3 linked regions of the Ovis aries genome follow. The main gene of each other region encodes a partner of the protein of the gene in region 3 in a complex. Links are inferred from orthologs where the notes say so. Each region holds a gene or a part of one and is shown on either strand. Other genes may lie near its edges. The genes, in order: NCAPG2, NCAPH2 and NCAPD3.

What was found.
Region 1: the proteins of NCAPD3 (region 3) and NCAPG2 are in contact, whole or in part, in a cryo-EM structure (PDB 9F5W), measured with the Homo sapiens proteins. The link is inferred for Ovis aries from reciprocal best matches to the Homo sapiens genes NCAPD3 and NCAPG2. Residues at the interface, in NP_056076.1 of Homo sapiens: Glu1213, Lys1216, Ile1217, Pro1218, Leu1220, Gln1247, Ser1250, Glu1251, Tyr1254, Lys1258; in NP_001268861.1 of Homo sapiens: Phe291, Lys332, Pro333, Ile334, Trp336, Lys340, Ala341, Arg342, Arg347.
Region 2: the proteins of NCAPD3 (region 3) and NCAPH2 are in contact, whole or in part, in a cryo-EM structure (PDB 9F5W), measured with the Homo sapiens proteins. The link is inferred for Ovis aries from reciprocal best matches to the Homo sapiens genes NCAPD3 and NCAPH2. Residues at the interface, in NP_056076.1 of Homo sapiens: Arg589, Pro591, Met629, Glu680, Arg683, Tyr684, His690, Lys724, Glu793, Asp800, Gln803, Arg804, Arg807, Gln817, Leu820, Gln865, Leu866, Cys867, Pro868, Ala869, Arg870, Val871, Val918, Ile925, Lys929, Leu932, Gln933, His934, Ala956, Asn960; in NP_689512.2 of Homo sapiens: Trp22, Ser68, Lys69, Glu72, Tyr75, Tyr79, Leu82, Asp83, Ser86, Ile144, Ile145, Pro146, Leu147, Leu148, Met150, Ala151, Leu152, Val153, Asp156, Glu159, Asn161, Asn162, Asn163, Pro164, Leu165, Tyr166, Ser167, Arg168, Gly170, Leu173.

Annotation. Positions count from the first base shown.
Region 1 is NC_056057.1:120,942,669-120,946,648, reverse strand, and holds part of NCAPG2 (condensin-2 complex subunit G2), read left to right. Parts: intron 1-1,791; coding exon 1,792-1,965; intron 1,966-3,715; coding exon 3,716-3,786; intron 3,787-3,980. UniProt on the Homo sapiens protein: Regulatory subunit of the condensin-2 complex, a complex which establishes mitotic chromosome architecture and is involved in physical rigidity of the chromatid axis.
Region 2 is NC_056056.1:225,743,319-225,747,298, forward strand, and holds the end of NCAPH2 (condensin-2 complex subunit H2), read left to right. Parts: intron 1-25; coding exon 26-109; intron 110-403; coding exon 404-639; intron 640-1,368; coding exon 1,369-1,440; intron 1,441-1,625; coding exon 1,626-1,944; intron 1,945-2,015; coding exon 2,016-2,069; intron 2,070-2,212; coding exon 2,213-2,283; intron 2,284-2,361; coding exon 2,362-2,455; intron 2,456-2,539; coding exon 2,540-2,611; intron 2,612-2,689; coding exon 2,690-2,745; intron 2,746-2,827; coding exon 2,828-2,959; intron 2,960-3,049; coding exon 3,050-3,199; intron 3,200-3,264; coding exon 3,265-3,405; 3' UTR 3,406-3,497; downstream 3,498-3,980. Other genes in the region: protein SCO2 homolog, mitochondrial, read right to left, coding at 3,675-3,980. UniProt on the Homo sapiens protein: Regulatory subunit of the condensin-2 complex, a complex that seems to provide chromosomes with an additional level of organization and rigidity and in establishing mitotic chromosome architecture.
Region 3 is NC_056068.1:82,063,233-82,067,212, forward strand, and holds part of NCAPD3 (condensin-2 complex subunit D3), read right to left. Parts: intron 3,930-3,980; coding exon 3,762-3,929; intron 3,681-3,761; coding exon 3,619-3,680; intron 3,429-3,618; coding exon 3,341-3,428; intron 1,336-3,340; coding exon 1,202-1,335; intron 1-1,201.

The sequences.
Region 1 (3,980 bases), on a different chromosome or scaffold from region 3:
AGAGCAAGGAGATCCAACCAGTCCATCTTAAAGGAAATCAGTCCTGAATATTCATTGGAAGGACTGATGCTGAAGATGAAACTCCAGTCCTCTGGCCACTTAATGTGAAGAACTGACTCATTGGAAAAGACCCTGATGCTGGGAAAGATTGAAGGCAGGAGGAGACGGGGACGACAGAGGATGAGATGGTTAGATGGTTAGACTTCATGGCCATGAGTTTGAGCAAGCTCTGGGAGTTGGTGATGGACAGGGAGGCCTGGTGTGCTGCAGTCAACGGGGCTGCAAAGAGTTGGACCCGACTGAGCGACTGAACTGAACTGAACTGATTATAACTGGTAGTAGAAAAGAAATACAAATTTCCATCTGGATGTTGTCATTCTAAGGACATATAATGGCTAAAAGCAAAAGTTTCTGAGTTTATTCTTCTACTTCTTCCCATTGCTCTCTACTAAAATCTCTGCTTTCTGTTTGATGAAGTCTTTGGAACTCAGCATATCTTTGTAAAGGGAAAGTGGTGCCTTTCTCCGGGGACTTGGTGATAAGATTGCTATGCCTAATGGTAGACTGTGAAAACCAAAATCCAGATCGAAAGTTTGTTGTGTTAATTTGTTATTTTTGTCATTCACATAGTATTTTCTAAACCTTTAACAGTGTTACTGGTTTTAAATTTAGCCGTGAGTCGTTCCAAGTATTAAGAGCCTATTGAAAATCTGCCTTTGCGTCACGGCTGGTTTTGGTTTTCTGTACACCCTCTTTTGTTGCTCACTCAGTCATGTCTGAGTCTTTGTGACCGCGTGGACTGCAGCACGCCAGGCCTCCCTGTCCTTCACCATCTCCCAGAGCTTGCTCAGACTCATTTGAGTCAGTGATGCCATCCAGCCATCTCATCGTCTTGTACCCCCTTCTCTTCCTGCCTTCAATCTCTCCCAGCGTCAGGATCTTTTCCAATGAGTCAGTTCTTCACATCAGGTGGCCAAAGTATTGGAGCTTCAGCTTCGGCATCAGTCCTTCCAATGAATATTCACGAATGGTTTCCTTTAGGATTGACTGACTTGATCTCCTTGCAGTCCAAGGGACTCTCAAGAGTCTTCTCCAACACCACAGTTCGAAAGTATCAATTCTTCTGTGCTCAGCCTTCTTCACAGTCCAACTCTCGCATCCGTATATGACTACTGGGAAAACCGTGGCTTTGACTAGATGGACCTTTTTTGGCAAAGTAATGTCTCTGCTTTTTAATATACTGTCAAGGTTTGTCATAGCCTTTCTTCCAAGGAGCAAGCATCTTTTAATTTCATGGCTGACAAAGCGTGGTCCACTGAAGAAGGGAATGGTGATATTCTTGCCTGGAGAACCCGTGAACAGTGGTGAAAAGGCACCCTCTTTAGTTCGGGTCATTTGCTCCCTGTATCTTCTCCCATCCCATTTGAGGAGCACAGAAATCCCAGGACTCGGAATGAGTCATCCTTTGCACCTCGCGGTGGTGATGGGTGTGGGCTCCCACCCTGCACAAACGCGGAGGAGTCATAGAACCCTCAGGACGTAGCGGTGCTGCCGTCCCCTGCCGCCAAGCTTGGAAGGCGCATGCAGGCCTGCTGCTTGAGACCAAGCTGGAACCGCCCCTGGTCGAGGGGGGTGGGTCCCCTCAGACACCATACCGCAGCCTTGGGGGTTCTCCCTGCCCATCGTTTGCATTTCTACTGTAGGGCTGGAATTCTGAGACATGCTATTAAAGACAGTGCCATTCCCTTAATAGTCGAGCGATTCATTCTTTCACGGTGATTTTTGTCTTAGGCTCTGGACCAGACACTGTCGGTGAGCGATGCCGCGTCTATGGCAGGGCTGCTGGAGATCGTGGTGATTCTCTGGAGGAGCATTCACAGGAGCCTGGAGAATAACAAGGAGGCCCGAATGTACACTGTGGACAAGTTTGCCTCGGTGCTGCCGCAGTACATGCGAGTGTTCACGGTAAGACGGCCGCCCTGAGGAGCGGAGCAGCCCCCGTGCGCATGGCTGAGCCAGCTGCTGCCGGGACTCACGGCGCTCTCCCTGTGTGGTGGGGCTGGGCGGCCTCCAGCCTCCGTCCCAGCGCGTGTCCAGGTGGCTCTGGTCTTCCATTGCTAATGGCCTGCGACCCGGTTTTAGAATCTAGTTTGACGTGCTGGGAATTGAGAGAGAGGAGTCTGTGAACATCCAGGATGCACTGCCCCCTGGTGTGGGGGCCTCTGACGGCACCTGGTAAGCACCTGTTTCTGAAGCCTCTGAGTCGTGTCTGTGTTACTGGGGCAGATGGACCGTGTGTGTATCTTCTGCTTAAGTGAAGGAAACCCAAAGGCCATATTTCAGAACTAATGGAAATAAAACTGCTATGTAAAAGTGCAGGTTTATTTCCAATTACAAAGAAAGCGTGGCTTAAACATAGAGCGGTCACAGGTCTTAGGGATCACTCTTCTCTTGGGAAAGTTTACTTCTGGTTCTTATACAGCTGCTTGTGTGACCTTAGACCTTTTAGCTTTTGGAGCTGTATTTCTGTGACTGTTAGGTCTCCGAGATCCATTCAGCCCCTGAAACGCCCATGTGACCGGTCTGTGAAGGTGAAGGACGAAGGCTGCCCCGTCACTAGGACGTTTAAAGGGTCAGACAGCTTCACTAGGCTGAGCAGTAGATAGCACACGGAGGAGGTCGGGTCCTGGATGAGCTGACAGAAGAGCAGTGTGCCCTGGGAGTGTCTGGGAAAAGGCAGGCGGTCCATTAAGTGCTTCAGTCCCGAGCGATTCTGGCCAGAGAGCCTCTCTGCCCTCAGTCCATCTGAGAACCTTGTGGTCTTCCTGTCAGTGGGTAAACCGTCTGTGAGCCACGCTTAGAGCAGAACTGGGAGTAGCGATCAGCTGTCTGTTGTGACATTAAGAAAATATTTTGTGTATTGGAAGTTGAGGATGAGGGCGTGTTCACTCTGCCTGAATGCAGATTACTTACAGATGGAACTGTGAGTTTGCTCCTGTTTATTTTTCAGGAAAATTGTTGTTTCTCTTCCTTTTAGGACCCATCTTCTCTGGTTGTGTTGCCATCTGAGGGTATTTCTTCTTAGTGATCTGGGTGGCGTCTGGCCTGTCGGCCCTGTTACGGCAACAGGGATGGCTGTGGTGAGGTGGCTGCCGTGTGCAAAGTGGCTCTGGGGGCCTTCGTGCTTTCCTCACGGGTCCCTGCCAGCCCTGCCCAGAGAGCAGCCTTCTCCCTGCTGGTCCCTGCTGGCTGGGCTGTGGGCTCCACTGGGACTTGGGCTTGGCCAGGTAGCTCCGTTGCACTGCCCTGCCTTCCGAAGGTGTTCTGATTAAGAACTTTTCTGATTAGCTTCGTTTTCTTGAGTTTTACACTGAGGGCACACCAGGTACATAGGATTGTAATTTTTTTCTTTCATCAGTATTCTTTTTAGAATGCAAGTCAGTGCCTTCACAGCAAGGACTTTGGTCTGTTCTGGGCACTGCTGTGTCCCCAGGGTCTCCTGGTACACAGTGGGTGTTTAATAAGAACGACACATCACGGAAAGTAGGGAAGCATCCTGGGGAAGCCTGAGAAGACCCAGCACACCTGGAGCCTCGCAGAGCCCGGGTCCTGTTGTGTGCTGTCCCCACCCAGCGGCCCTGCAGTGGGTTCCTCGGGCGGAGGGCCCGTAGGCCGCACTGCTCACATTCCCCTCTGTGTCTTTCCCTGCCCCCAGGACGACCGCTGCAGGACCCCTCTGTGCGTGCTGGCGTCCCTGATGCCCGCCCCGGCTGTGCCCACCTTCAGGTGCCTGCTACCCGCCCTCTGGTCTCCCCAGCAATGCCCGCGTGGCCTGCAGGCAGGAGGGCAGGGCAGCGGCTTCCAGGGCCCGGGGCACTGAGCGCCGGGACTCATCCAAGTGCAGGTGGGGACACGCGGTCTGAGCTGAGCCGCCGCGGAGCTGCAGCCGCACGGGGCCCTGAGTGCCTGGGATGCGGCGC
Region 2 (3,980 bases), on a different chromosome or scaffold from region 3:
GTGTGCGATCCCTGCTCTCTCGCAGAGCCTGGAAGGGCCGAGGAGCAGCCCATGGAAGTCTCTGTGTGCGGGAGTCCCGGCCCGGCACTCAGCACCTCCCAGGAGCCAGGTGAGAAGCGAGCTCCCAGGCGGGCCTGCGGGGGGGCTGGGGAGGGCCTCTGCGCTCAGCACCCACCCTGTCCAGCGCTGCAGCCTGGGGGGCTAAGGCTCGGGGGCAGGCCTCCGTGCCCCGGGCCCACCTTGGCCAGCTGTGCTGTCTTGGTTCAGTGGCTGCCCCCAGACCAGCTTTCTCTCTGAGCAGACAGAGGCGGCAGCATTTGAAGAGGAAAATTACTAAAAACTAAAGTGAAGCAAACAGAGCAGCGGTGTGACGCGAGTGTGCCGTGCTGTTTGCTCCCCACAGGTGACGCTGCGGCAGGGACGGCACCTCATCCCCAGGCGCAGTCCCCGCTGCCTGGCCTTCTGGCTCCCGAGGCTGACTGTCTCGTGTCCCTGCCAGGCTCCTCTCCAGACGGCCCAGCGCCCAGAGGTGGGGGCGTGGGAGAGGACAGAGAGGATGCAGAAGGGGCAGCAGAGCCCCCTGAGGCCTCAGCACTTGAGGTCCCTATGGAGCCCCTGGAGCCCAGGAGCCCTGAGCAGGTGGGACCCCGAGGGAGGCCTGCTGAGCCCCCACCCTCAGCCAGGCGAGCCCCGGTGGGGACGGCGCGTGCGTGGGGCAGGCGGTCCCCTGGGCTGCCGGCTCTCTGGGCCTTGTGCGCCAGGGCAGTGGGTGTGTCCGCCAGCCGGCCCCAGCCCCACACCCTGCCCTTTCCAACAGCAGCTTTCACGGCTCCCTCTCTGAGCAGAGCAGCTGCTGCTCTTCAGGGGTGGACTGGTGCCCAGGGGCAGCACCCAGAATGGCACTGGTCTCCAGAGCCGACTCTCGAGGCCAGGCTGGCAGGAGTGGGCGGGCCTGTCAGGTTCGATTGGTTGTTTTTGCCTAATTGCTGTCACGTCCGACTCTCTGTGACCCCATGGACTGCAGCCTGCCAGGCTCCTCCATCTGTGGGATTCTCTGGGCAAGGATACTGGAGTGGGTCGCCATGCCCTCCTCCAGGGGATCTTGCCGACCCAGGGATGGAACCCAGGTCTCCCGCACTGCAGGCGGATTCTTCACCGTCTGTTTTTCTCTTTGAGGAAGTATCTCGCCGCCACTCGTCCAGTTCCTATCGCCTAAATCTTTATTAGCTTTTCACCTTCTCGTCGTTGAACTTCCTGCCCCCAGGGGCTTTCTGCAGGGCTCCCCATGTCTGGCCCCGGAGCAGAGCTGCTGGCGGCCTGGGATCCTGGGTGGAGGAGGAGAGGGGAATCCCAGGTTTTCCTTTGCAGAGTGCTGCCCAGCCCAGGAGGTGTGCACTCCGGGAGCGGAAGGAGGCCCCGGAGCCCGCATCCAGGCTGCAGGTGAGGGGCGGGCGGCCTGGAGCCCGGCGGGGGGTGGGGGGGGCGCCCTCGGCAGTGCGTCTCTTGAGCACTCTTCCTCCCCCAGCGCTGGGCCTCCCTGCTGCAGCTCCAGGGTGCCCCCTCCCTGAGCTCTCAACTAGGGGAGGGTGCGTGTCCTCCACCCTCCTGTGTCTGCTTGTGCTCAGGACACCCCAGACCCCTGGCAGGGCCTGGACCCCTTCGACTCTCCAGATTCTAAGCCCTTCAGGAAAGGTAACGCGGCGGGCATGGCCCCTGGGCACTGGGGGTGGGGGCTGGATTCACCCGGCTTGAGTGGAGGTTGGGGCTCCACGGCCTGTGGGCACGGAGATGGCCCTGGGCTGTGGCTGTGCTCCGGGACTGCCTGTCTGCCCCCAGGCAGGCCCTACTCTGTGCCCCCCCGCGTGGAAGAGGCGCCAGGACAGAAGCGTAAGAGGAAGGGTGCCGTCAAGCTGCAGGATTTCCACCAGTGGTACCTGGCCGCCTGTGCGTGGGGCCCAGGGTCGGGTGCGGCTGTGGGCCTCAGCTCGGCCCCTGCTGACCCGGGCTTCTTGCAGATGCTGACCACACAGACAGCAGGAGGTCCCGGCGAAAGGGCCCTTCCTTCGCAGGTGAGCCTGGGGCCTGGGGCTCTTTGAGGGAGGCTGACCCCACATTGCACCGCCCCCCTCAGCCTCGGGAGGCCGGAGGCCAAGTGGACTTGGGTGGGCCTGGGCAGGATGAGGGAGCCCCCTCATGAGGCTTGTGTGCGCAGACATGGAGGTTCTGTACTGGAAGCACGTGAAGGAGCAGCTGGAGACGCTCCGGAAGATGCAGAGGAGGGAGGCAAGTACCGGCCACCATGTGGACCCCGCGGGGCCTGGTGGGAGACAGCAGTGCCTCTGATGGGCTGTCTCTGCACAGGCGGCTGAGCGGTGGTTGCCGAGGGCTGAGCAGGGGCTGTGGCCTGTGGAGGAGGACCGCCTGGAGGACTCGGTGGAAGACCTGGGCGCCGCAGGTGGGGCCTCCAGGGGCAGGCCGGGGCAGGGCTCAGCGCCCACCGCAGCCTAACTCGCCTTGTGCCCGGGTGCTCCCTTCTCAGCAGATGACTTCCTGGAGCCTGAGGAGTACGCAGAGCCCGAAGGGGCAGAGCCCGGGGAAGAGGCAAACATGGGTAGGTCTGGGAGTGGGCTGCTGGCCTGAGGAGCCCTGAAGACGGGAGGGACAGACGCTCACGGCCGCACTTTTGCAGAAGCGGAAGCCATGCCAGCGTCTCTGCGCTATGAGGAGCTGGTCCAAAGGAACGTGGTAGGCCCAGGTCAGAGTGGGGGCAGCCGGGCGGGGCGGGGGCGGGCCCTGCACCCAGCTGCTGGCCCCGGTCCTCCCCCAGGAGCTCTTCGTCACCACCTCGAAGCAGGACGTCTTCGTGACCACCTCGAGGCAGGAGCTCGTCCAGGAGACGGAGCTGAAGCAGCACATCAGGGGCTGGGAGGAGGCCATCCAGACCCTGCTCCAGGAGCAGGTGAGGCGGGCTGGGCGGGCCCCTGGCGGAGGATGGCGTCCCCTGCCGCCTGCCTTGGGCCAGCCCGGGACCCTCCCTTCCCCTCCGCAGGAGGAGCATGTGCCCTTTGACATCCACACCTACGGGGACCAGGTGGTCTCCCGGTTCAGCCAGCTCAACCAGTGGTGTCCCTTCGCGAAGCTGGTGGCAGGCCAGCCTGCCTTCGAAGTGTGCCGCTCCATGCTGGCCTCCCTGCAGCTGGTGAGTGGCCCAGGCGTCTGGGAGGGAAGTGGCCCCGGCCTCTGCTAACGCTTGGCGTCCTACAGGCCAATGACTACACAGTGGAGATCACCCAGCAGCCGGGGCTGGAGGCAGCCGTGGACACCATGTCCCTGAGGCTGCTCACACGCCAGCGGGCCCACCAGCGCTTCCAGACCTACGCCGCCCCCTCCACGGCCCAGCCCTGAGCAGGGAGCCCACGCCCCACGGACCCTGGGTGTGCGTCTGCGCCGTCTGCTTCCTGGCTGGCCCAGCCTAATAAAGTGTTGCCATCCCACCAGTCCCTTAAAACAAACCCTTTACCGAACCGTCGTGTTTAGGGGAGAGGGTTGTCTGTCCCCTGCGCCCCAGGAGGCAGCCACCAGGCCCCCAGCCCCCCGCCCGCCAGGGCCTGCAGGGGCGGCCGATACAGATCTCACGCGCACACGGCTCCGTCACAGCCCTTTAATGGCCGGGCTCAGTGCAGGACACTGCGGAAGGCAGCCATGTGGCGCCGCACGCTGTCTGTGATCTGCTCGGCCGACCGGCCCCTGCTGTAGTAGTCGGTGAAGAGGCCGTCGGGGCTGAGCAGGTAGATGGCGATGGAGTGGTCCACGATGTAGTCCTGGTCTTCGTCCTTGGGGCCAGCGCTGTAGTACACGCGGTAGCTGCGGCTCACCTGGGCGATCTGCTCGGTGGACCCAGTCAGGCCCAGCAGCCTCGGGTGGAAGTCCTGCACGTAGCGGGCCATGGCGGCCACGGTGTCCCGCTCGGGGTCCACGGT
Region 3 (3,980 bases):
AGACACAGAGACCGCAGTCGGGACTCAGAGCTGGCCTCACCAGCGGGCCCACAGGCCACGAACCCCTCACCACCCCCAACAGCACCCCCTACACCACCCCTACACCACCCCCAACAGCACTGCCACACCACCCCCTACAGCACTGCCACACCACCCCCTACACCACCCCCAACAGCACCCCTACAGCACCCCTACAGCACCGCCTACACCACCCCCAACAGCACCCCTACAGCACCCCCTATACCACCCCTATAGCACCGCCTACACCACCCCCAACAGCACCTCCAACAGCACCCCTACACCACCGCCTACACCACCCCTATAGCACCCCCTACACCCCCAACAGCACCCCCTACACCACCCCCAACAGCACCCCTACACCACCCCCTACAGCACCCCCAACAGCACCTCCAACACCACCAACAGCACCCCCTACACCAACAGCACCCCTACACCACCCCTACAGCACCCCTAACAGCACCTCCAACACCACCCCCAACAGCACCCCTACATCACCCCCTACACCACCCCTACAGCACCCCCAACAACACCCCCTACACCACCCCTACAGCACCCCCTATACCACCCCCAACAACACCCCCTACAGCACCCCCAACAGCACTGCCACACCACCACCTACAGCACCCCCAACACCACCCCCAACAGCACCTCCAACACCACCCCCAACAGCACCCCCTACACCATGCCCAACAGCACCCCCTACACCACCCCTACAGCACCCCCAACAGCACCCCTACAGCACCCCCTACACCACCCCTAACAGCACCCCCTACACCATGCCCAACAGCACCCCCTACACCACCCCTACAGCACCCCCAACAGCACCCCTACAGCACCCCCTACACCACCCCAACAGCACCCCTACACCCCCAACAGCACCCCTACAGCACCCCCTACACCCCCAACAGCACCCCCTACACCCCCAACACCACCCGCTACACCACCCCCTACAGCACCTGCAACACCATCCCCTACACCACCCCTACAGCACGCCCAACAGCACCCCCTACACCACCCCTACCGCACAAGCCAGATGGGCTGCTATGCGCTTTATCCTGAACCACAAGCCACACACAGCCCAGACACGTGTCAGCTCCTCAGGTGTCAGAAGCCGCGGCTAGCACAGGGCCCAGGCTACTGAGGGCGAGTGACGGAGAGACGCGAGCTATGTGCCCTTTACCTTACAAACTGGATGGCCAGCTTCCTACTGCTGACAACCGGCGGCGTGATGGCAAGCGGGGTGTGATGGGAGCCTTTGCCCACTTCTACCATCAGTATTATGCAGAGCATTTGATGCAAAACGTATCTGAGAACCTGGAAGAGGAAAGGACATGCAGCTTAAGGCATGACAGAGAATCCCAGGGCCTTGCCAACTGTGACGCAGACCCCAGTGAGCTGTTTCAAGTGCCAGCAGGTAAAGGAGGTTGGCACAGGTTCTGGCGGACCACGAAGGGTGCGCCTGCTGCACAACGACCAGGTGTCATACCTGCACAAAACGAACAGTGCGGAGGTGCTGCCTACAGACTGATCAGCCGGATTCCACCCAGTTTCTCTGCTTGCCTTATACTCCAGCCCAGAAACCAGGGCTCGAGAATCAGCTGCAACTGAGCAAGGCCGAAGAATGCAACGGATTACCCCCCACAGGAAAGAGGAAGGGGATGATTCTCCACCTATGTTACAGCTGAAGCTTACAGAACACCTTCCCGTATATCATCTCACAGAATCTACTCAAAGGGTTAGCTTGTGCAACCAGTGAATAAAATAATTACTGGAAACCAAGGATGTGGCCGGTACTGCATTAAGCATGTCTCTGTACTACAAGATTTGACCATACTTACTCTGAAATCTCTCAACTCAATGAGGTCAGCAAAACATTTCCATTCTATACTTGATACTATTATTATCTCCACTTTATACATACCAAAAGACTTTGAAGATGAGCAGTCCCAAGTCAAGTAATCAAAGATAAGGCTACAACCACAGTCACCCAACATCAGGCCAACACTTTTGCAATGAAAAACACCCTGTCCTTAGAGACACTGCCACCTGAAAGGGTAATTTCCCATCCTCTGCACTTTCTACTCTACAATGCTAAAAAGGGCACAGAAATTAAAAGTTTTACTGTAAATGCTATCACATATTCCAGACACAGGGAAGAGATAATGACATCAAAAATTAAAGAAGGATGGGGTGTTTTCTAAACAGCAGGCATTACGCCGAGGCACTCTTCCCTGCAGTCCTCCTGAGAAATCCACAGGAAGGGAAGGCCCTCATCCTCCTTGTCCAGGTGAGGATACCAAGGACTCATGGAGGACACACAGGGCTTCTTCTGTGGCTCAGTGGTGAGGAATCCCTCTGCCAATGCAGGGGACACCGGGTCAACCCCTGGTCTGGGAGGATCCCACATGCCTCAGAGCAACTAAGCCAGTGCTCCACGAGATGCCACTGCACCGCAATCAGAGAGCAGCCCCCACTCACGGCGACTGAGAGAAAGCCTGCTCGCAGCCGCAAAGACCCAGCACAGCCAAAAATAAGTTGGAATGTTTTTTCTTTTTAAAGGGAGACACACAGCAGTGAGGCGTAGGACCCAAGTGCGGAGCCCACGTGCCCAGGGCCTCCTCACCCCGCTCCCTGGAAACCAGGGCACTGCAGGCGCTGAAGGCAAGGGCCTTGGTCTGCCATGTTTTCTGCAGACTCCTGCTGCACTAACGACATTCAGGTTCAGTAACACCCCAGGGCTCACAAAGCCCTGACCCCAGTGTCTAGGGCTGTGCGGCTCTGAAGGTCACCACAGGCAAATCCAGATATGAATGCTGACCAGGAGTGTCAGCAGAATCATCCACTAAGGCACAGACGCTAACAGGAACACAGGGGCAGAGGGGCCTGCGGGGGAGCTGTAAGGCCCCATGGCTGTCTGTCCTCCCAGAGGACTCTGGAATCATCTGCTAAAGCACAGACGCTAACAGGAACACAGGGGCACGGGGCCTGCGGGGGAGCTGCAAGGCCTGTGGCTGTCTGCCCCCCAGAGGGCTCTGGTGAGCGCTCGAGCGGCAGCCCTGCCCAGCAGCTTTCCTGCGCCTCTGCAGGCCCCGCTGGGGCCTGCTTTATGCCTGAGCTCAACAAGAGTGTCCTGCGGCACCAGGGGCCTGGGTATGAGCCTGTAGCGAGCAGCGGCCACCACGTGCTGACGGGCGCTTCTCATCACAGACACCAACGACCCAGCGAGTTCACACAGCATCGCACTGAGTCCTTGCAGCACTTCTAGTCACACGACCCGTGTGCTTTCAATTCCCTGTAACTCAGCTCCTGTCTCCTTTACCGTGTCTCCTTCTCTGTGAAGAGGGGAACAAAGCAGATACAGTCCATGGTAGGCCAGTTCTGGTATATACTTCATTTCTCTGAGAACTCTAAAAAAAAAGGCAAAAGATTAGTTAATGGATGTGATTTCACTAGGATAAACTCCTAACCCTATCAGCCTTATTTAAATGAATGAATTCTACCTGTGTGCCAATCAGGATAGAATGACATTCACACCTCTGCTGCAGCGAAACATCTCACCATAATTAAACGTTAGCACCGGGGGATTTAATTGCTCACCTGGCTTGTGTAACCTGGAACTCGTAACGAACTGGTTCAAAACTAGTTAACGCAACAAAGACCTGGAAAACAGACACCAAGAAAAGGCCTGATTTTTCCCACTCTCTTTGAACTTGCCCAAGGTCCCTGGCATTCTCACTTACCTCCACACAATTCTGTATACACTCTGGCTTTTCCTTTAAGGAGAATTTAGAAAGAAGCCTTATAAAGTTCTTCAAAACTTGAAAGAGGACATTTCGAATCTGACGACGATCTTCAGAAGAATAAAAAACACCCTCTTCATCCTCTTCTTCTTGAGTAGTTTCATCCATCTAGATTATGCGGAAACACACAGCCGACTGCAGCACTGCCTCGCAGCCTGT